Elephas maximus indicus: one gene and its partners. The protein of the gene in region 1 binds, or shares a complex with, the protein of each later gene. Links are inferred from orthologs where the notes say so. Each region holds a gene or a part of one and is shown in the gene's direction. Other genes may lie near its edges.

Region 1 (7,635 bases):
TACTCCTGACCTCAGGCCTTTTGCTCATGCTGCTCTTTCTAGCTGGAGTGTCTTCCTTCCTGCCCAACACCTGTTGGCGCTCAGGACCCAGCTGGACTGCAGACACCTCTGGGTACCCACAGCACCCTGATTACATTTCTGTCACAGGACATTTGTGTTTTAGTATCAAGTCAGAATCGACTCGACGGCACTGGGTTTGGGTTTTTTTTTTTTTATTATTCATTTTTGGAGAGTCCCTGGGTGATGCAAACAGTTAACATGCTTGGCTGCTAACTGAAGAGTTGATGGTTCAGGTCTACCCAGAGGCACCTCAGAAGACATTCCTGGTGATCTACTTCCAAAAAATCAGCCACTGAAAATCCTGTGAGGCGTAGTTCTACTCTGACACACATGGGTCGCCATGAGTCAGAACCGACTCCACAGCAGCTGGCATTTATTTTCAGGAGCTCTCTGAGGACAAGGCTAGGGTCTACCTTAACATTTCTGCCTCCTGGTGTCCACCTCTGGCCTGGGACAGAGTAGGGGCCAGCAGTGTGAGTGATGTGCAGAGAGGGGCCAGGCTGGCCTTGCTGGGAGGGTGACAACGAAATTCTTAAGTGGGGGCTTTGGAAGCAGACAGACTTTGAATTTGCTCTTCGCACTATCCTTTTCTAGCGGTGTGAACTTGGGCAAGTCACTGTCTCTGAGTCTAGTGTCCTTATCTTTGAAATGGAGATGACAGATACCTCCCCGGGAGCTGAGACCCAGGATCTCAGCTCCAGTGCTAGGGCCTCGCAGAACCCACATCATCAAAGATTGCAGGAAAGAATGGCTGCATGCGAGAAGCGCTTAAGTGATAGAAAGTACAGTTCCCCTCGTTACTATAAGCCAGTCCTGGCCTAGGGCCTGAGGCCACCTCCCCACTCAAGGAGGCCTGGGACTAGGGACTCCTCCTCACCTGCCCAGAAGTATGCTGGGAGATGTATCTGGGGACATCTGTCCCACCAGAGGGGCCCATGTCTAGGAGGCCATGTAGATGCTGCCAGCTAGGGAAGGGGCTGTTGGTGTCCATTAGAGCCAGGGGCAGGCAGGTGGGCTTGAGCTGCAGCTGGTGGAGGGAGGCCCAGGGTGGGGGCCTTGGTGGCCAGGGATCAGGCTAGGGGGCTCTGGGCTTCTCTCCCAGCTGCTGTGTGGGAGGAAGTAAATAAAGAGGAAGTGTCTATGAGGGGAGAAAGGGTCCGGGACCAAGGGGATGTGGGCTGGTGCCTGTCCTCCCCCTCCCATCACCAGAGGCCGCACAGCCCCTCCAAACATCCTTCTGTGAAGGCAGTTCTGAAACTGTTTCCTTCCTGTTGCCCGTTCCTGTAGTGTGCTGGCCATAGAAGTTCTTCCTCTGCTTCTAGGGGGCGGGCTGGGGGAGAGGCCAAGCTGGCACTGGCCCCTCCTCTGTTGCTGGACCGACCAGACGTTCTAAGGCTCTCAGGGCTGCCCTGGCCCCCAAGTCCTGGCCTGAGGACTCTGGGTGGCAATGAGAGGCCTCAGTTAAGGGGAACATCTTTCACAACCCCCGCCAGGACGCCACCTGTCAGAGAATGTTGTTATTGGAGGCCCTGCGAGAGCCGGGAAGGGGAAGTCTGTGTGTACGTGGGGGTGTGGATTTCCACATAGGGGATGTCTGTGGAAATGGTTTCCAGCCGTCAGCCTGAGTGTGTGTCTGTGCGCGCTCGTGTCAGTTCCTGTGGGTGTACTGGTATGAGTGAGGAGGTGGAGCCACGTGGTAAGGGCAGGGCCTGGTCCACCCCTATCCCACAGCCACCTGTTCCTCCACCTAGACCTCTGTGTTGAGTTGTCCAGTGGGCAGCCAGGGTCCTTGTCTAGGGGCTTCTGCCCCATTGTCCATCCCAGGGTCTTAGACTGGCAGGCTTCTTCAGGAAGGGCTTGGAGAATGGGGCCTCTGAGCAGGGGCAGGGCTGAGTATGGTGCTTGCTCTGTGGGCTGATGTTTCGGGTGAGCCTAGCCATGAAGGTTGCTATGGGGGAGGGAGTGTCCTCGGGAGTTGGACCAACTAAGTGCTGAGCTATGTAGTTCAAGGCTGTGGCCTTGCTGATTTCTGTTCCCATTCTCTCAGACCCCTCTTGGGGGTGCTGGGATGTCTACTGTGTCCCGGCGTTATCTCTATGTGACTTCTGTGATCCTGTCTCCCCCTTCGGGGAGACAAGTGAGGTGCATCCCCGAGTCATCCTTGGGGCTTCGGGTTTAGGGTCTGCACTATCCCCACCTTGGCAGGGAGCCTGACCCGTCTTCTGTCCCTCCTCCCAGCAGAGGGGGAAGTGAGAAGGAGGGAGGCCATGGACCCTGCCTTCTGGGCTGGTAAGGCTAAAAAAGCAGAAGTAAGGGGAGTAACGGGGCCCTCTGGCCACCAGCTTGAGCCCCACCATGCAGACCCCGGCAGACTTCCCCAGGTTTGAGGGAGACTCAGTTCCCTGTCCCAGAAAGGTGAGCAGAGAGGTGGCCTGCCTCCAACAGTGTCTGTCACGACAACTCTGGGCGAGGACTGGGTTTGGGGGTGGCTATGTCCCCTGGGGTTTCTGGGTGGCTGCCTCTGCCCCCAGAGAGTGTTCTCAGTCAGAGGCAGACAGATGAGGTGGAAGCTCAGATCTTAGAGTGGGGTTAGCAGGCATTGCTGTTTTCTTGGCCCACCCCCGCCTCTCTCTGAGCCAGGCTTTCTGCCTGTCCCTCCAGGGGTTTATACTCAGGGGCCCGATTAGCCTGCAGCTTTCAGTGGCTGCTACACCCACTCCCCCATCTGTCAGGGAGAGTCCTCTGAAGATGGGGCTGTGTCTCTGAGGGTCAGGACCTAGAGTGGGAAGTCCCCAGGCTGATCCTAATGGTGAGGGTGGGGGCAGGCTGGGGTGGGCAGGAAGTGGCTCTGGCTGACTTACCTGCCCACCCTTTCCTGGCACTAAAGGCCAGGCAGAAACCAGGGGAGGGACTTGGGTTCAAGCCGACTCTGCCGCTTGGCTCGTTTTGAGTCTGGGTGAGTCACTGTCCTTCTCTGGGCCTCAGTTTCTTGTTCTCAAAATGGAGATAATGGTTTTTGGGATATTTTGGGTCAGAGTCAAAGTCATCAGATGACATCAGGAGATGGTCTCTCAGCCCACTGTCTTAGTCCTGGGCCTCCTCAGGCTCTGGCGTAGGAAGAAAATCTGAGGGAAACGGAAAACCTCATTGTTGGGTCTGCCATGAATACTGGGCTACTCTCCTGAGTCGTGGGGGTTTGCTGTTATATCTCCTTACCCTTCCTCCTCCCTAGACAAACCAACGAGAACCCAGAATTCTACCCTCCAGCCCCTCAGAAAGGTCTGACCCCCTTTCCTAGGGATCCCTGCCTTGCTGCCTGTCTGTTCGCTGTCACATTCATCTGCTCTGGGCGCCTGACAGTCTACTTGGGCCTAACTGACTCTGACTGTCTCTGTCTGCTACCTGTCTGCCTCAACTATTGAGTTCCTGTGTCTGTCTTTACCTATCAGATACATGTTCCCATTTGTCTCTTCCTGTTGGGCTCGTGTCACCTTCTGTCTCTGCCTGTTGGATACAGGAACTCCTCTTTCTCAGCCTCTTGGGTATGTGTCCCAGCTGTCTTTGCCTGTTGGGTACGTGTCTACATCTGTCTTGCCTGTTAGATACAAGTTCCCATCGGCCTCTGCCTCTTGGGTGAAAGTCCCTGTCTGTCTCCATCTGTTGGGTACAAGTCCCCATCTGCCCCTCTGCCTGTTGGGTGTGTGTCGCTATCCATTTCCCAGTTGGGTACGAGTCCTCATCTGCCTCTGCCTGTTGGTTATGAGTCCCCATCCAGCTCCACTTCTTGGGTTCATGTTCCTGTCTGTCTCCACCTGTGGGATATGTGTCCCCATCTGCCTCTGTCTATTGGATATTTCCCCATCTGCCTCTGCATGTGCCCCTTTCTGTCTGTGCCTTTTGGGTACGTGTCCCTGTCTGTGTCCACCTGTTGGGTATGTGTTTCCTCCTGCCTCCTCCTGCTGAGTATGAGTCTCCTTCTGTCTCTGCCTGTTGAGTACATGTCCTAGTCCATCTCTGCCTGTTGAATGCCTGTCTTTATCTCTCTCCACCTCTTGGGTGCGTGCCCCTGTCTCTTGGGTATCTCCCTTTATCTGCCTCCACGTGCCTCTGCTGTAGAGTTCCTGTCTCTGTCTCTCCTGATGAGTGCATATCTTCACCTCTGCCTGATGGGTGCCTATCTACTCCTCAGCAGATGGGTTGGCCTGGGCCTTTCGCTTTACAGGCCCAACAGGGAGGGTGGGAGGAGGGCCAGAGGGCAGCCCTCAAGCATTGGGGAGGGGAGAAGAGAGAGAGGAAGGGAACAGGGTGAGGGTATAGGCCTGGAGCTGGGAAACCACAGGCCCTGAATGATTGGCGGTCCTGGGCCAGGCCCAGCCCCCGCCCTCACCCTGCACATCCGCCTTGAGCCTGGCCACCTCCGCGGCAGCCCCGACTCTGCCTGCTCCTGCCATGGTGCCACGGCCCTGCCGGGCGAATGGAGCAGGATCCCAAGTCGCCCCGTCTGCGGCTTTGGGCCCTGCTCCCCTGGCTGCCCAGGAAGCAGCGGCCCAGGATCAGCCAGACCTCGCTGCCTGCCTCAGGCCCTGGCTCTGGCCCCCGGCGGGACTCGGTGAGTATGTCCAGATGTCTGGCCCTGCCCAGCTATGGCCCTGGGAGCAGGTGCCTAGGCAGCCAGTTTGGCCTAAGCTGGCTTTGGACTGTCCTAGCCCAGGCCTGGCTGTGTTGGATGGCTGAACCCTGCCCAGAGTTGCTTCCTGGGAAAGTGAAGAGGCGCTTCAGGGCTCTAGGGCAATGGTAGTAGGTTGGAGGAAGGGAAGAGGGGTCCTAGAATAGCCAGGACCTGGCAAGGGGCTTCTCATAGGCTTGTATGAGGGAAGTTTGGGAGGGAGGGCATTGAGTCTGGCGTTAACTCCCAACCGCCCCATGTTGGCACTTACTGGGTTGGTGGTAGAGTCCCAGATGACGCTTAGGTCTCTGTGTACTTCAGCCCTGTCCTACCTGCCAGAGGGATCCCCCCGTTTCCCATCCTGATCAGGAACAAAGGCTCAACTCCACCTCCCCACTATGAGAACAAACCCTACTTCCTATTGTGGTAAAACCAAAAACCTTTGCAGCAGGGGGAGGGGAGCCCCACAGGGAGGGCCTGGGGCAGGCCTACTACGGGCCTCAGCCAGAGCCTGGGGTTGGGGGATTCCCTCCTGCCCATGCCTGGGCATCCCAGGCCAGAGCAGCAAGAAAACAGGAACACCTTGGTGGTTTGACCCTCTCTGACCTTTGAGGCCCTTTTTGGTTCGGTGAACTGGAGGCTGACTGTATTAGGGTGGCTGTCTGGTCAGGCCTGTGCGGCCCTGTCTGGTGAAATCTGCTGGGAATGGACTTGGATTTGGGGGACGGTGCCTCCATGCTCACCGACTCTGTCTCCCCACCAGGATGAGGGCATCCTCAAGGAGATCTCCATCACACACCATGTCAAGGCTGGCTCTGAGAAGGCTGACCCATCCCATTTCGAGCTCCTCAAGGTTCTGGGCCAGGGATCCTTTGGCAAAGTAAGTTCTGAGCCCACAGCTGGGAGGGCAGCACTGGCCATGTCAGAGGTGGGAGGTGAGGGGTCACCTCAGAGCCCAGAGTGAGAAGAGTAACTTCTGGGGTCACTGGGGTGAGGGGTCACCTTTGTGCTCAAGGGATCAGGGGCAAGGGTTGATGGGCTTTTCTCCCACTGCCTTCCCAGGTCTTCCTGGTAAGGAAGGTCACCCGACCTGATAGCGGACATCTATATGCTATGAAGGTACTGAAGAAGGCAACACTGAAAGGTGAGTGGGGAGCACCTCCCCATGCGAGCCCAGGCTGGGCACAGGGTTGATGGAGACAGCCTAGTCCTCAGGGCCTTTGGTCTGATGGGAGAGGTAGCCCTATTCTCAGGAGCACCTAGTCTGAGGGAGGAGAAACCGGCCTACTCTCAGCTGCCTGCCATCCCACCCCACCTGATGGGGAAGACAGGGTCCACTTAGAAGAAAAGACTTCAAGCCGTTAACCCTCCACCTGATCCCCACCATCACTAATGAAGCCACATGCCAATGGCTAAGGCTGAAGGTGGTTGTCTAGAAGAAGGTAGTGGGGCAAATGCAATGTGTTTGTGGTGTGGTGGGGGCCCTCTAATATGGTTAGGCAGAGGTGTTCTAACTGTCAGTAAAATTTGGGGAGACCTCTCTGGACTCATTGGAGGAGAAGGGCATGAGAGAAGAGGCAGGAACCCAGGGAGCCAGGTGGGCCAAGAGAAGGTGAGGTTGAGGCAGGGCCATGGAGATGGATGGCACAGGGGTTCAGAGGGAGCATGAGCCAAAGTCTAGCATTTTGAGGACTTACAAGGGGTGTGCGGGTGGTTGGTGGAGGGCTTTGGGCTGGACATTGACTCTTTGATTGGTTCGGGAACCAGTGTGGCTGCTGACCAAGTGAAGTGGGGGCAATAGGAGGCCTTAGAGATGTTATGGATCATGTGGCCCATGAAGGGCTGTCTGGAGTGTTGGTAGCTTTGGTGCCTCTGGGCCAACCTGAGGTAGGGATGGGAGTCATTCCCCAGGAGGGATGGTGGGAGCCACAGGGAAGGAGAAAGATGAAGACATTTGGTCCCTGCCCGGGAAGGCCTCCTAGGCTGGGCAGGAGAAGCTAAAAGACCGTCAGACTGGAGAGATGGGCAGGGGGCCAAGGGCCCATCCCTGGACCTTGCATAAGGGGCAGGGACAGGAAGCAAACCAAGGAGCCAGACACAGAATAAGAGCAAAGGAAGAAACCTGAAGATTGAGTGTGCCCACAAGCCCTGGGGAGGAAGCTCCGGGAGCTCAGACCTGGAAGAACAAGTAGAAAAGAGGGTCCTTCTTAGCCAGGGTTTGGAGAGTGGCTGGCTATGTGGGTGGCTGGACTACTGGGAGGGCTCTAGCGTGACGGCCTTTCTCCTCTGGCCAGTCCGTGACCGGGTCCGGACCAAGATGGAGAGAGACATCCTGGCTGACGTCAACCACCCATTTGTGGTGAAGCTGCACTACGGTGAGACCACAGACCTACCTGCCCTGCTCACCAGCCTTCACCCTTGCCTCTGGGGTGCTGCCTTCCCTGTACCTTATGGCACCTCCCACCAAGCAGGCCAAGAGAGCGGGAGGAGGCAGGGGAGTAGGTTCCAGAGCCTAGCTGGCTCTACCATTGCATCTTCCCCTCTCCCCAGCCTTCCAGACCGAGGGCAAGCTCTATCTCATTCTGGACTTCCTGCGTGGCGGAGACCTCTTCACACGGCTCTCTAAGGAGGTGAGCCAGCACCCCCCTACCAGAGGACCCTAGAATGGAGCTGTGGAGAGAACCAGGCCTCCCATCCCAGGGCAAGCAACGTGGCCAGGATCTGGGACCACGCAGGCCTGCCTAGCAGTCCCTCAACCTGGAAATATCACCCACCCTGGGACAGAGCTCTGGTAAAGCTTCTGAGAGTTCCCCCAAGGTGGGCTGTAGAGGTCAGGCCCTGGATTCTGATGCTAACCTGACTCCAGGGAGTTAGGGGTGGCTCTCATCTCTCTACCTCTGTTTTCCCAG
Region 2 (7,501 bases), on another chromosome or scaffold:
CCCAAGCTATGGGGAAACGGGGCTTTTATGTGATGTGGGCAGCAAGATGGTGGACGCACAGGTGTACTGGAGAGGGAAATTCTAAAAGGTAGCCAGGAAATAGGAGGTGATATGGTTATTCATTCCACCTGTTGCTGCATCCTCCACCGAGGTCAATTATCCATCACCGCTGGCTCTTCTGCACGTGCGGGGCAGGCCAAATTTGGCTCGGGCTAGTTTAAGGATAGGCATTCACAAGGTCGGGTTACACCACTTCACACCTACCAGACTAGCAAAAATTAGAAAGACCAATAACCCAATTATTAGTGAGGATGTGAGCAGTGGGAACTCTCAGATAGTGAGTATGTAAATAGGTACGATCATCTTGGAAAGCGTTTGGTATTATACGCTAGTGTCTGAACTTGTCTAAATCCATGAGTGATAACCAGGATCAGCACAAAGGAGATTCCTATGAGGTAGAGGTCAGACATACCTCTACTCTCCAATTTTTTCACCATTTCTTACGCCAGCCATTCTCCCCACAGCACTCATAGACTCATAGTGGCCCTAAAGGGCAGAGTATAACTGCCCCATATGGTTTCCAAGGAGTGCCTGGTGGATTTGAACTGCTGACCTTTTTGGTTAGCCGCCGTAGTTCTTAACCACTATGCCACCAGGTTTTCCACCCTTACTCCCAGGCAAGGCTTATTTCTTCCTACTTTGGTCTGTTCTGCATTTTTGCTTTTTGCCTTTATTACTGTAGGTATCATACCATGTGTGTCCCAGTTATCTAATGCTGCTATAACAGAAATACCACAAGTGGATTGCTTTAACAAAGAGAAATTTATTTTCTCACAGTTTATGAGGCTTGAAGTCCAAATCTAGGTACTGGCTCTAGGGAAAGGCTTTCTGTCAGCTCTGGAGGAAGGTCCTTGTCTCTTCAGCTTCTGTTTCCTGGTTCCTTGGTGATCTTCATATGGCTTGGCATCTATCTTCCCCCATCTTTGCTTGCTTACTCTGCTTCTTTTACACTTTGTAAAAGAGTGAGTCAAGATACGCCATACACTAATCCTGCCTTATTAACATAACAAAGACAACCCATTCCCAAATGTCATAATAACCACAGGCATAAAAACCAAACCCACTGCCTTTGCATGGATTCTAACTCATACAGACCCTATGGGACTGCCCATAGGGTTTTCAAGGAGTGGATACCAAAAAAATTAAACCCGTTGCCGTTGAGTCGATTCCAACTCATAGTGGCCCTACAGGACAGAGTAGAACTGCCCCATGGGGTTTCCAAGGAGTGCCTGGTGGATTCCAACGGCCAACCTTTTGGTTAGCAGCCGTAGCACTTAACACTACGCCACCAGCATTTCCAAGGAGCGGGTGGTAGCCCAGAATATATGATCTTGTATTTCACCTCCATCTCCATCCAGCTGTTTGAACAAGTAACATGTTGTTGTTGGTTGCCTTGCTGAATCAGTTCCAACTCATAGTGATCAGATCTTCTAGAATCACCTCCTGTGTTCTTTTCACCATTCCATATTAATTTCAGTGTTGGCAAACAAGGGGCCTTCTGGCTACATCTGCCCCTTGTCTTGTTTTGTTCGTTTAACACAGTAGCTTTAGTTGAGCTTGTTTTTCAATCTGAATTTGAATGCCTTTATATTGGACGTCCACTTTCCAATCCTCCAGGGTTCCTACCAATTCCTGTTGTCTAATTCCAGGTTAGGCGCCCTGGTGGTGCAGTGGTTAATTGCTTGGCTGCTACCCAAAGGTCACTGGTTGGAACCAACCATAGGATCCACAGTAGAAAAGACCTATTTCCTCCTGTAAAGATCACAGCCTAGAACACCCCATGGGGCAGTCCTACTGTGTCATAGAGGGCCGCTAGGAGTAGGAATTGACCCGGCACACAACAGCAACAATTCCAGGTTGTTTCACAGTTTAAAGTCACCTTCCTGGCCCTTAAGGCTTTTGAGTTTTGACCCCTCTCCATTAAGCACACTTTGGAATGTCCTATCCCCCAAATCAGGAGGGCTGGGCTGAAGTTACAGCTAGGTCATCTACCAGTCACACTGTAATGGTAAACTTAAAAAAAAGATGTAATTTTCCAAGTTGCCGAAAGGGAAAGACAACTTTCCCCTCTCTCTTTCTTAAGGACAACTCTTTGAAATGTAAACATCGAGGAATGTAATGCCCTACCTCCCCTCAGGTGGGAATTAGCCTAGGTGCCCTATCCCAAACTGTAAGTACCGCTTGCCATACAGATATTGTTAGGTGTTCTTGAGTCTGTTCGGACTCATAGTGACCCTATGTACAAGAGAACAAAACATTGCCTGGTTGTGAGCCCTCCTCATGATCGTTGTTATGCTCGAGCCCATTGTTGCAGCCACTGTGTCAACCACTTAGTCGAAGGTCTTCTTCCTCTTTTCCACTGACCCTCTACTTTACCAAGCATGATGTCTTTCTCTCGGGACTGATCCCTCCTGATAACATGTCCAAAGCATGTGAGATGATGCCTCACCATCCTCACTTCTAAGGAGCATTCTGTCTGTACTTCTTCCCAAACAGATTTGTTCTGTTGGAAGCCCAAGGTATATTTGATATTCTCCACCAACATCATAATTAAAAGGCGTCAATTCTTCTTCAGTCTTCCTTGTTCATTGTCCAGCTTTCGCATGCATATGAGGTGACTGAAAACAATCACCCTGTTTTCAGGCACACTTCAGTCTTTGAGGTGACATCTTTGTTTTTTAACACTTTAATGATGTTTTTTGCAGTAGATTTGTCCAATGCAATGAGTTGTCTGATTTCACTGCTGCTTCCATGGGTGTTGATTGTGGATCCAGGTAAAATGAAGTCTTTGACAACTTCAATCTTTTCTCCATTTATTATGATGTTGCTTATTGCTCCAGTTGTAAGAATTTTTGTTTTCCTTATGTTGAGGTGTAATCCATATTGAAGACTGTGGTCTTCGATCTTCATCAGTAAGTGCTTCAAGTCCTCTTCACTTTCAGCAAGGAAGATTGTGTCATCTGCATAACGCAGGTTGTTAATGAGTCTTCCTCCAATCCTGAGACCCCATCTTCTTCATATAGTCCAGATTCTTGGATTATTTGCTCAGAATAAAGAATGACTAAATATGAGGAAAGGATATAACCCTGACACACACCTTTCCTTACTTTAAACTACGCAGTATCCTCTTGTTCTGTTCGAACAACTGCCTCTTGATCTATGCACAGGTTCCTCATGAGCACAATTAAGTGTTCTGGAATTCCCATTCTTTGCAATGTTATCCATAATTTGTTATGATCCACACAGTCGAATGCCTTTGCAGGGTCGATAAAACACAGGTAAACATCTTTCTGGTATTCTCCGTTTTCTGCCAGGATCCATCTGAAATCAGCAATGATATCCCTGGTTCCATGACCTCTTCTGATGTGGCTTGAATTTCTGGCAGATCCCTGTTGATGAACTGCTGTAACCGCTTTTGAATGATCTTCAGCAAAACTTCACTTGTGTATGATATTGTTTTATTGTCATACAGATAGAGAAGTTTTATTTTTCCTTTGGATAAGGACAATTAACTAACACAAACGGCCACTCCAAGTGTGAACTACTAAAGAATGTATAACAACTGGTGCTGTCAGGTCCTCTTACATGAGAACACGCATGTAATGGATGGTATCTGCTTGGCTATGAAAAAGGGTGAGATTTCTTTCTGTCTTTGCAATCTCAATAGCAGGGCCTGTGATGCCCATTGCAGGCTGATTTAATGTTTACTGAACAATAAAGTTCTTTTTTTCCCCCTACATTTGAGGAGAGGACTTCCGGGGTATGCAGGAGATTTTATTTTTAATTTTTCCTCAACAATATCAATTTACTAATGCCTCCTACCTTTTTTTTTTTCCTACCTTTATTTAGTCTGCCTCCCCCACGCTTTCAACCAGTTAATTAGGATCGTAATGTGCTCTCCCCTCACCCCACATTTTGCTGCAAGGACCAGGTGAGAAAACGGAACATGTCGGCTGCGGGAACCACGACTCCCAGCATTCCTAGCGCTCCTAGCTCTCGCGGTATCCGCTTCCGATCTGGAGGCTGCTGAAACCGAAAGTGCTGGGCTAAGGAATTGAGATTGATTCACCTTCATCTGAGTAGTTTTAGCCCACCCAGGTGGGAAGCCTGGAGAGCACTAAAACATGAACGGAAGAGTGGATTATTTGGTCACTGAGGAAGAGATCAATCTTACCAGAGGACCCTCAGGTATGTGCTAAACGGCTCCTCCCTGGTAGTAGGGGACATGAAGGTGTGATTGCAGAGCAGACAGTTCTGTCAAGCCAGATTCACTTAGCCTCGGAGCAGGCAGGCCCCAACCTTGACTTTTCCTGCAACTCTTGCAGGCACGTAGGAGGAACGTATTGACACCCGTTGTTGGCCAGACACGGGACTGAGACATCCAGCTCATCTGTCAGAGGCATTATCATACCTATTTATAGTCAGGAAAAGTTTCTTTCTGCTAATAGTGGCAGAAAAACAGAGAAAAAAAGCACACCCCGTTTTTAGCCGACATACCGTGGACACCACGCCCCTTTCCAATCCAGCATCTACCCCTGTTTCTATGACCGACCGTTTAGTAAAACGGGGGAGCGTGATCGGTATGGACTTCGAATGCGTAGTCATTTTCCTGGTGTTAGGCTCCTTCCTTATTTTCTTTTCTGTGTAATTCATTTTGGGTGTTAACGAGTATGTTAAACAGGAAGAGACTCTAGAGATCTTCTATTACAGCATGTCCCAAATCTGATTCCGCTCAGAATTACCCGGAGTTTTTTGTTTTTGCCGTTTCGTTTTTTTTTTTTTTTAAAGTAAAAATGGTAACTCCTATGCCCAAGTTCTAGCGATTTGGATTCATTGCAGACTTTTTTTTTTTTTTTTTTTTTAAAAAGCCTCACATGATTCTGCTGCAGCCAGATCCTCCCTTAACTAAAATAAATGAATTTGTTGACTGACGTCTTCTTGATTTTTCCCAAGCATTTTCATGTCTTTGTCATGTAAGTTAATGAACTTAAGAGCCTAGGACAATAGAGCCACAAACCTAGGATTGAACTTAGATAAAGAAGAGTCATTTGAAGTTTACTTAGGTTTTTTTTTTTTTTTTTTTAGTTTGGTTCAGTTAATTAGGAAGGGTTTCAAGTTCCTGTTTATCACTTCCCAGCACTGGTTACTTGGCATATGGGTACTCCTAAGAAGCCTAAGAGTCTAATTCAGTTTTTCTTCACTGTGTCATCGTGAAGATATGCAAGTGAGAAATCAGTTAGCACTTCTAGAAACTCCCAGGTAATTTTGGTAGTCGCACAGTGATCTTTCTTTCTATAGAAGAAATATGAAAAGCTTCTACTTCCAAATAGGCATTTCTGTTTGTAGGCAGCATTGTCACTCTTTGTACAGCTTCCTACGCAGGGACCTGATGGTTTAATCAGGTAACTGCAAGAGCGTGTATACCTTTGCCCTTTTGTTCCTGTGTTCGGTTAGGGGCAAGAGTTTGGGGTAGTTGCAGGATTTGGGTTCATATTTTGGGGGCATAAGAACCTATTCTGTTTGCCTCAAAGGAAATAATGAAATCTTGGGAAAATAATGACATTGAAGAGAGTGTCTGGGAGGCAAAAAGGAGCTTCGCATGTAGCTTGGCATCTCTCCTATGCCTGCTTCCTAAACTATGAAAGGAGAGACTTGGGCTAGATGACTTCTGAGGTCTCTTCTACCTCCAAGAGTTCGTAATTCTTTGGCCCATTCCACGTGCTGTTTTACGATACCTATCATTTTGGGCTAACTGTGGTTGATCTGAAGAATCCTGAAAGGCAACGGTTGTAATCTCAAATACATTCAGGGGTTGAACAGTTTACCTATTACCTTTTTTAGAACACTGTCTTATCTCCAGCTTGTTTATAGCCTCTGAGGTCCTTGGTCAAGGACTTACCAAAGGTTTAAAGCTAGTAAGTTTCAAGAGCCAGGATTTTTGTGTGTGTGTGTGTGTTTTAGATGAAAGTTTACAGCACAAATTAGTTTTTCATTCAAAAATTTTATGCACAAATTGTTTTGTGACTTTAGTTGCAGTCCCTGCAGTGTGTCAGCACTCTCCCTCTTTCCCTTTCCACACTGGGGTCTCAGAGTCCATTCATCCAGTTTTCTTGTCCCGTCCTGCCTTCTTGTCTTTGCTTTTGGGCAGGTGCTGCCATTTGGTCTTATATACTTGATTGAGCTAGGAAGCACCTTCCTCACATTTGTTATTGTTTGTTTTATAGGCCTGTCTAATCTTTGGCTGAAAGGTGGACTTCGGGAGTCGCTTCAGTTCTGAGTTAGCAGGGTGTCCAGGGGCCGTAGTCTGAGGGGTTCTTCCAGTCACCGTCAGACCAGTAAGTCTGGTCTTTTTTGTGAATTTGAATTTTGTTCTACATTTTTTCATCCTCTGCCTGGGACCCTCTATAGTGATCCCTGTCAGAGTGATCGGTGGTGGTCTAGTTCTTCTAGGCTTAGTCTGATGGAGACTGTGGTTCATGTGGTCAGTTAGTCCTTTGTACCAATATTTTCCTTGTGTATTTGGCTTTCTTCATTTTTTTTTTTTTGCTCCGGATGGAATGGGACCAATAGATGTATCTTAGATGGCTGCTTGCAAGCTTTCAGGACCCTAGATGCTACTCACCAAACTACAATGTAGAACATTTTATTTATGACCTATGTTATACCGGTTGACCTAGATGTCCCCCAAGACCATGGTCCCCAGTCCTCAGCCTCAGTAACTCAGTCCCTTAAGGTTTTTGGATGTGTCTGTGAAACTTCTATGACTTGACCTCGGTCAAGTTGTGCTGACTTCGCCTATATTGTACGTTGTCTTTCCCTTCACCAAAGTTAACACTTGTCTACTATCTAGTTAGTGATATCTCCTCCCTACCCTTCCCTCCCTGGTAACCATCAAAGATTGTTTCCATGGGTAAACCTTTTCTTGAGTTTTTATAATACAATACTTGTCATTTTGTGACTGACTTATTTCACTCAGCATAATGCCCTCCAGATTCATCCATGTTGTGAGCTGCTTCACAGGTTCATCACTGTTCTTTATGGTTGCATAGTATTTCATTATGTGTATGTACCATAATTTGTTTATCCATTCATCTGTTGATAGCCACTTAGGTTGTTTCTATCTTTTCGCTATTGTGAATAATACTGCAATGAACATGAGTGTGCGTATGTTTATTCACGTGACAAAGAGCCAGGATTTTAACCCAAGTCTTTTGATTCTACTGTAGCATAAACTGTCTGCCAGTATAGTAGCTGTGCCTAAGGAGTTAGCAGCCAACCTTTCTTTTGTTACATCACGCTTTCTTCTCAGAAGGATTTGAGACAACTTAAGGGACTTTTTAACACAATCCACAGTAGAAAGTTTTTAGTTTGCTGTTGTTAGAGTTGAGGGCATATCAAAGTGAGAACATTAAAACAGAAAACCCTATTAAGTCCATGCACT
Region 3 (7,928 bases), on another chromosome or scaffold:
ATACCTCGGTTCTAGCCACTAAATATAAAAATTGGCTTTGCGTCAAAGGCCACAAGTTAAACAGTTTAACATCAAATTTCATCCATTCATTCAATTATTCAGTAAGTGCGTATGGAGCACAGTCTCCATCAAGGGTTGTTTTAGGTTCTGAGGATTCATAAGTTGGGTAGGGCAGATACGATTTCTGCTCTGAAGGGGTTTCCGGTCTGGGACGTAGGAACCAGATCAGCTGAAACAGAAAAAACAGCAGAAGTGAGAAAAGGGCAAGAGAGTTTGCAAACATATAACTAATGCTTCAAAACCGGCAGCTTTGGCTGCTTCGGAGGCTTGAATTATTTCCTGTCTCCCTATTCCTTTCTCCATCCTGCACTCTGTACTCCAATGTACTTCTTCTCCTGGGGTTACTCCACATTTAAATCCTGAAGTGTGCTAAAGGCCACATCCATTTCCCTCTTAGGTGCAGGGACACCTGGAATCCTGGAGAAGGAAGATGGCAGCACCACAGTGGGAGGAGTCCAGAAGCACCTGGCCCTGCACAGCCCCTAGACTACCCATGCAGGGGCGGGAGTCCAGATGGCCCTGCACAGCCCCTAGACTACCCATGCAGGGGCGGGAGTCCAGATGGCCCTGCACAGCCCCTAGACTACCCATGCAGGGGCGGGAGTCCAGAGGTGCTGATTCTAGGGAGGTGGAGGAATTCCTAGCTAGCAATCAGTCTTTACTGGACTATGGAGTGGGGGAGGGGGTGGGCGGAACCCGCAGGATCAAGCTTACTAGTAATTTGTAAGGTAATCTGGGATTCCCCTCTAACATGGGAGGTGAAAATGTGCATTTTTCTGGGAATATTCATTCAACCAATACATGAGCATTTACTAGGTACCAAGTACTGTTCTAGGAGCCTCTGCATGGTGCTAACAGTTAAGTGCTCGGGTACTAACTTAAAGATTGGTGGTTTGAACTCACCTAGAGGCACCTCAGAAGAAAGGCCTGGTGACCTGCTTCCAAAAGGTCACAGCCATGAAAATCCTGTGGAGCACAGTTCTACTCTGAAATACAATGGGGTAACCATGAGACAGAAGCTGCTTGAGTGAGGCACTGTTTTAGGAACTGGGAATACATCAGTAAACACAACCGCCAAATTTCCTGCTCTCCCAGAGCGTACACTCCAGAGGAAGATGAACCATACACAGCTTTATACTAAAAAAATTGTTTAGGAATTATGGTGCTAGAGCCGTGGTCCTCAACATTGTGTAACAGCACCACTTGGGGGCACCTTAAAAATCCAGATGAGAGACCCTCTCCCTGACATTCGGGATGGCTGGACCTGGGGTTGAGTTTAGGATCCTACTGAAGCTCCCCATAAGATTCTGTTCCACAGGTTTGGAACAAACCAGTTGTTTCTGAGACAATCAACCAACCAACCCATCGTCTTGGACTCGTGGCGGCCATATGTGTTAGAGAGTGGAACTGCCTCATTGGGGTTTCTTGACGGTAGTCTTTACGCAAGCAGGTTCCAGGCCTTTCCTCCACCGCACCCCTGGGTGAGTTCGAACCACTAACCTTTATGTTAGTACCAAACCAAAAACCAAGTCTGTTGGCGTCAAGTCAATTCCGACTCACAGCCACCCTACAGGACAGACTGGAATTGCCCTGTAGGGTTTCCAGAAAGCGGCTAGTGGATTAGCAGTCAAGCACAAATCATTTGTGCCACCTGGGGACCTCCTTCTGAGAAAAGAGGCTGGAGATGAAGGACGCGCCCCTCACCAAGGAGGGCCACGGGAAATTGGCCACCTCCTTTCAGAAACACAAGGAGGCAATAAGATTTTAAGTTCTGGATATTCCAAGAGAGAAGCATCAACATTCTTTTCTTGGATAAACCAAACCAGTTGCTGTCGAGTCAGTTCCTACTCACGGCAACTTCACGTGTGTCAGAGTAGAACTATGTATGCTCCATGGGGTTTTCAATGACCGATTTTTCGGAAAAAAGATCTCCAACCCTTTCTTCTGAGGTGCTTTTGGGGTGGACTCAAACCCCCAACCCTTAAGGGTAGCAGCCTAGTGCATTACCCTTTGCATCGCCCAGGGACTTCTAGCAAGAATAAAACCCATTGCCTTCAAGTCAATCCCAACTCATAGCGACCCTATAGGACAGAACAGAACTGCCCCATAGGGCTTCGAAGGAGCAGCTGGTGTATTTGACCTTTTGGTCAGCAGCAAATCTCTTAACCCCTGTGCCACCAGGGCTCCCTATAATAAAATAGAATCCTAAAAAAGTGCTTTAAGATATTTAAATATATGTTTACACATTTTTTAAGTTCTAGAAAGTAAATGAATTATCATCATTTAACCTGAAACCTCAAATGAATTCCTTTCCCTTTCCAAATTGAGTATTAATACTACTAATAATATACTTTTATTATATGCCACTTGACGAGTATTTGCTTTACAAGTATTCTCCCATGTAACGCTCCCAAGGACCCCGTGAGGTACTGTTACAGTCTTCTTACAGGGCAGAAAATGAAGGCTCTGAGAGACCACGGAACTTGCCCAAGGTCGCACAGAGTGGACCACGGGAAACAACACTCCGGAGCCCAGCTCTCAACCTGACCCCTGGGGCATACCACTCTCTCAGTCCCCTCAACTCACCTCCCTTATTTAGCATTTGGACTCTCTCCTGTGACTAAAGATGAATAATCAAGTTATAAATCATTAAAAGGAAAAAGAAACCGCTTGGGAAAGTCCTTAACCGCCCAGGCCCATCAAGGGAGTATTTGGATAGGGCAGCCTTCGTGGCGACTGTGTTTCTCCTGCCTGCGGCCGAGCTGGTTCTGTAACCTCACCGGACAGACACACGCTCTCCCCGCCTCTGGGCGGCTCCCGAGGTGGAGCGACCTGGGGCCTCGAATTCTGAGAGGTGGCGGCTGCGCGCCTATGCCCCAGACTCCGTGGCGATCCTTATCTCCTGGCCTCGGGGCGGGTCCCCAGGCTTCCCGGCTCCGCCAGTACCTTGAGTCCAGGGCAAATGACAGACTCCAGAAGTCTCTTCTGGAAGGACAGTTAAAAAGCTAGATGCCATTTAAACGAGGGTTGGAGGTCCGAACCCCTCCAGCCCCTGGGCTTCTCTCCCTCGCCTGTATTTTTCCCTGTGTCCTATGACGTTGGCTCCAAAGTTTAACGGCGTATGGGGGCGTGCGAGGCTCACAGGGATCCCAGATTGGTAGCTCCCGGGATCCTGGCAGATCCCCCGCCAGAACGCGAAACCGCGGGCACACGGCGGCGGGGAGCAAGGGCGCGCCTCCCGGGGGTCTCAGGGGTTTAGAGGGAAATTGGCTGGGAGTGTCGGGGGCGGACACAGCGGGCTAGGTGATCCACAGCCACAGGCGAGGGCGGCAGGAGGCTTAGGGCCAGCGTGAGTGCGTGAGTGTGAGCGCAAGGGTGAGTGTGTGAGCGCGGGGGGAGAGTGTGAACGCGGGGGTGAGCGCGGCGGTGAGGGTGAAAGTGAACGCGGGGGTGAGTGTGAGAGCGGGGGTGAGTGTGAGCGCGAGGGTGTGTGAAAGCGGGGGTGAGTGTGAGCGCGGGGGTGAGTGTGAGCGCGAGGGTGAGTGTGTGAGCGCGGGGGTGAGTGTGAGCCCGGGGGGGAATGTGTGAGCGCGGGGGTGAGTGAGCGCGAGGGTGAGCGCCGGGGTGAGGGTGAGCGCGGGGGTGAGGGTGGGAGCTGGGGTGAGGGTGGGAGCTGGGATGAGGGTGAGCGCGGCGGTGAGGGTGAGCGTGAACTTGGGGGTGAGTGTGAGTGCGAGGGTGTGTGTGTGAGCGCGGGGGGGTGAGGGTTAGCGCGGGGGTGAGTGTGAGCGCGAGGGTGAACGCGGGGGTGAGGGTGAGCGCGGGGGTGAGTGTGTGAGCGCGGGGGGGGTGAGGGTTAGCGCGGGGGTGAGTGTGAGCGCGAGGGTGAGTGTGTGAGCGCGGGGGGGTGAGGGTGAGCGCGGGGGTGAGTGTGAGCGCGAGGGTGAGTGTGTGAGCGCGGGGGGGTGAGGGTGAGCGCGGGGGTGAGCGTGAGCGCGAGGGTGAACGCGGGGGTGAGGGTGAGCGCGGGGGTGAGTGTGTGAGCGCGGGGGGTGAGGGTGAGCGCGGGGGTGAGTGTGAGCGCGAGGGTGTGTGTGTGAGCGCGGGGGGGGTGAAGGTGAGCGCGGGGGTGAGTGTGAACACGAGGGTGAGTGTGTGAGCGCGGGGGGGGTGAGGGTGAGCGCGGGGGTGAGCGTGAGCGCGAGGGTGAACGCGGGGGTGAGGGTGAGCGCGGGGGTGAGTGTGTGAGCGCGGGGGTGAGGGTGAACGCGGGGGTGAGTGTGTGAGCGCGGGGGTGAGGGTGAACGCGGGGGGGAGTGTGTGAGCCTCCCCAACCCCCACCTGTTTGAAGCGGTTTTAAAATCCCGAAGTCAGATTCTTTATGTTTCAAAAGTTTCAGTTTAAGTGAAATACATGCGCTCTTCCTATATATTTTTTAAGTTCTGGAAAGTAGGAGGCGAATTACCATCCTTTAACCTGAACCCTAAAAGGAGCTGCTGGGTCTACGCCTCGGAAAGAAAAGGAGGAGGACGCTCAGCGGTGTGCGAAGGGGAGGAGGGCGGCAGTCGGCTGCTCTCAGGCTCGGCTTTAGGACCCAACGGGAAGCCCGTTGGACTCTTTCGCTCAGGGAAGGAGAGGCGGGGCGGGCCGGATGGCAGGCGGCCGCGGGGCGCATGCGCGCGCGTCTCCTCCCGCCGGCCGCTTCGCTGCGCTCGGCGGCGCGGAATAGAATGAAATGTAACAAAACAAGCCGAGCCTTTGTATCTGCTTAAAGGGGCCGCGGGCACTTCCCTGCTGTCCTCCCCCTCAGCGCCGCTGCGCCGCCGCGTCTCCAGGGCTCCCTGCAACTGGGCTGGCAGGGCTTGCCCCACCTCGGGAGCAGCCGGCCAGCGAGGAAGGACGAGCCGGGCGGGAGGCAAGGAGGAGGCTCCGCATTTCTAAAAGGCAAGAAAGAAAGGAAGGAAGGAAAAAAAAAAAAAACCAAAAAAAAACCCGGAGCGGCGTAGAGTGGACTCTGGTCCGAGCGAGCGCGATCGGGCGCCCGGACGTGGACCGAGAGGCACCGGAACGCAAACAAAGCGCGCGGGCGCCCGTGCAGGCTCGGTGGGGAAGCCCAGAAAGTTTGTTTGACGATGGCCTGAGTGCGCGAGTGTGTGCAGGCGAGCGAGGCCGCCAAGTTCCTCTCCAGGGGCGTTACTGGGAGGAGGTGGCTCTCCTATGAACCACCGGCGGCTTGGAGGCTTGCGCTGGGGGGGCACCTGTCTCTCATTTTATTTTATTTTTTGGAGGAGGGGTGTACCTCGTCATGTCGAAAGTGATCCAGAAGAAGAATCACTGGACCAGCAGGGTTCACGAATGCACCGTGAAGCGGGGGCCCCAGGGCGAGCTGGGGGTGACGGTGCTGGGGGGCGCGGAGAACGGGGAGTTTCCGTACGTCGGAGCGGTGGCCGCGGCCGAGGTGGCGGGGCTTCCTGGCGGAGGAGAGGGTCCGAGGCTGGGCGAGGGGGAGCTGTTGCTGGAGGTGCAGGGGATCCGGGTGTCCGGCTTGCCCCGCTATGACGTGTTGGGAGTCGTCGACAGCTGCAAGGAGGCCGTCACCTTCAAAGCCGTCAGACAAGGTAAGACCGGGCGCGCCTCTGGGGGCGCCCCTGGAAAACTGCACGGCCTGTGGGGTGTCTCCCTAACCGTGATTTCCCGCGTTCCTCCTCGCAGCGAACCCGAGAGGGGACGTTGAGGCTGTGTGCCCTGCAGTAGAGACATACACAAAGTTGTTGCGAGACTGTAGGTTGTTTGCCCACCTGCTTTGGAAGAGGCGTCTGGGTTTGAACAGGGAACCGGGGAGACGTGTCGCGGGCCTGGTTGCCAGCCTGTTATCTCAGCCACCAAACGCAGCGCAGCCTCGCCTGCACCTGGAGGCGAGTTGGGGAACTGAGGCTGGAGCAAAGGTGGACGCTCCAGCAGCTCCTTGGGGGAAGAAGTGCTGCGGGCGCAGCTGCTGACTTTCTTCTGCCATTTTTCTGTTTCCAGACCTGGAAAGTGGGTATGAAGGAAGGAAGGGTCCTCAGTTTACTGGATCCCCTCCACCCTAAAATCGGCTTCACCCCACAACCCCTCGCCTGGCGGTTCCTAAGCCCGCTGCCTGAAGATTCTGCATTCACCCCACAGCCGAATGACGCATGTGTCTCCACCGTTTGGCCCAGCACCGGGCGGGGCGAGGGGGTATTACTCTTAGCGCAAATCTAGACCCAATTTACGCTGTCATTATTATCATCATCCTCTATAATAACGATAGCTACCATTCATTGATTTGTGTTCCGTGCTAGGCTCTGGGTGCTGCCTTACTTGTATGATTTCACTCTGGTTCACAATCCTAAGAAAGAGTTGTTTTTATAAACCCCATTTAACAGATACGGAAACCGGGACTGACATTGGTTAAGTGACTTGCCCAAGGTCACACCCCTACCAAAAGCCTGGTTTGAGTTGCAGAGCCTTAAGCACTGAGGAGGTAGGAGGTAGGGGTTGGGGGATGACCCTTAGGGACTGGAGGGGCTAACTTGTGTCAGGAAGTAGACTAGATTTTCCCCTGAGAAGCCTGGAGGGGTCTACCTCTTAGAGGATGGAAGATGCAGTTGGTTGGGGGAGGAGGAAGAGGGGTGTCTTACATCTTGGTTTGGGACAGCAAGGGGCTGTTCCTACATCAGTCCAGCAGAGAAGACTGGAGTCTCTAAAAGGCATCCCTTGTGTGACCAAACACCATGATGCAGTTCTCTCCCTGAAAACACCAAAGGAGGTGACATAGTTGAGCATGGTAAAGAGGTCCCACATGTGTCTGTCGGTGGACAGCAGCTGGAGGAATGTGTCAAAGGAAAGAAGGCCTGGGCTGGGCTTCTCTTGGAAACAGGCTTGTTCCAGGAAAGGGAAGAGGGGGCAGGGGATAGCTAAGTCTTTGGTAGCTTTGGGAGCTGAGGGGTGGACACTGAGCTATGAAAATCTTTGGCCATTTATGTCCTCATCTCCACTTGGACACTTCCTCCAAGAAGCCTTCCAGGTTCCTGCCAGGATGAACAAATCCTTCTTCCTCTGGGCTCCCTTGATGTGTACCTTGTGGTTTTTAACTTAGAGCTACAAGTTGGGTCCTACTCCTCTTGTCCCAGGTAGTAAGCTTACTGCAGGGAGAGACTGTGCCTCATTCCTAGCCCTTCTCCCCAGCCTTTGCTTGAGACCCACCTCTGAGGGTGTTCCCTTATCTATAAAATGGCTTTCTTCTGGGTGTTATGTAAACTAGTACAGGAAGTGCACAAAACAGTGCCTGGCATGTACTGAGTGTTCAGTAAAGGTGAGTTATTGTTATGTTTGAATTGAATTGAGTACTTACTTCTTTGTAAGGTTAACTTTTGATGTCAGGGACCTGAATTATCAGGATTTGATAGAGTTGTAGGGAAAATACTGTGTCAGGACATTTGATGGGAATGGATGCAGGCATTTTGGAGAAAGGGGTGGAGAAAGGATAGGCCAACCTAGTGGGGTGTCTGGTGGTGTCCGATGGGCCCATGGGGACGTGTTTTCAGTGTGCCCGATGCTGCATATAGCTGGGCTTCCTCTCTTCACTGGCCATCAAAAGAGACAGGAGGCATTGTCCCAGGGCTGCGTCATTATGGAGCTTTGGAAGGGTTGGGGAGTTAATCAGGTGGGTTTAGAAGTGGGTTCAAAGGGAAGTATAGTCTCTTAGAACTATTCTGTGTGCACATAATGTTCACAGCAGCTGTGTGTGTATATAAAATTACTTGTAATGGAGTAGAATAAAAATGTTGATGAGGAATCCCGAATGGCCTGGAATCCACTACAGTGTGAAAGCTATTACTTCTCAT

The links. Proteins that work in one complex are often made in the same cells at the same time.
Region 2: the proteins of RPS6KA1 (region 1) and SYNJ2BP are in contact, whole or in part, in a crystal structure (PDB 7P74), measured with the Homo sapiens proteins. The link is inferred for Elephas maximus indicus from reciprocal best matches to the Homo sapiens genes RPS6KA1 and SYNJ2BP. Residues at the interface, in NP_002944.2 of Homo sapiens: Pro731, Ser732, Thr733, Thr734, Leu735; in NP_060843.2 of Homo sapiens: Arg18, Gly22, Leu23, Gly24, Phe25, Asn26, Ile27, Val28, Gln33, Ser45, Arg46, His78, Val82, Phe85, Arg86.
Region 3: the proteins of RPS6KA1 (region 1) and MAGI1 are in contact, whole or in part, in a crystal structure (PDB 5N7F), measured with the Homo sapiens proteins. The link is inferred for Elephas maximus indicus from reciprocal best matches to the Homo sapiens genes RPS6KA1 and MAGI1. Residues at the interface, in NP_002944.2 of Homo sapiens: Pro731, Ser732, Thr733, Thr734, Leu735; in NP_001028229.1 of Homo sapiens: Arg480, Gly481, Phe482, Gly483, Phe484, Thr485, Val486, Val487, Gly488, Asp490, Lys499, Ser500, His532, Val536, Phe539, Gln540.

Annotation. Positions count from the first base shown.
Region 1 is NC_064821.1:67,006,800-67,014,434, forward strand, and holds the start of RPS6KA1 (ribosomal protein S6 kinase alpha-1), read left to right. Parts: upstream 1-4,370; 5' UTR 4,371-4,534; coding exon 4,535-4,669; intron 4,670-5,489; coding exon 5,490-5,606; intron 5,607-5,788; coding exon 5,789-5,870; intron 5,871-7,020; coding exon 7,021-7,101; intron 7,102-7,276; coding exon 7,277-7,356; intron 7,357-7,635. UniProt on the Homo sapiens protein: Serine/threonine-protein kinase that acts downstream of ERK (MAPK1/ERK2 and MAPK3/ERK1) signaling and mediates mitogenic and stress-induced activation of the transcription factors CREB1, ETV1/ER81 and NR4A1/NUR77, regulates translation through RPS6 and EIF4B phosphorylation, and mediates cellular proliferation, survival, and differentiation by modulating mTOR signaling and repressing pro-apoptotic function of BAD and DAPK1.
Region 2 is NC_064828.1:83,064,273-83,071,773, reverse strand, and holds the start of SYNJ2BP (synaptojanin-2-binding protein), read left to right. Parts: upstream 1-4,068; 5' UTR 4,069-4,184; coding exon 4,185-4,248; intron 4,249-7,501. UniProt on the Homo sapiens protein: Regulates endocytosis of activin type 2 receptor kinases through the Ral/RALBP1-dependent pathway and may be involved in suppression of activin-induced signal transduction.
Region 3 is NC_064838.1:71,687,342-71,695,269, reverse strand, and holds the start of MAGI1 (membrane-associated guanylate kinase, WW and PDZ domain-containing protein 1), read left to right. Parts: upstream 1-4,495; 5' UTR 4,496-5,365; coding exon 5,366-5,678; intron 5,679-7,928. UniProt on the Homo sapiens protein: Plays a role in coupling actin fibers to cell junctions in endothelial cells, via its interaction with AMOTL2 and CDH5. May regulate acid-induced ASIC3 currents by modulating its expression at the cell surface.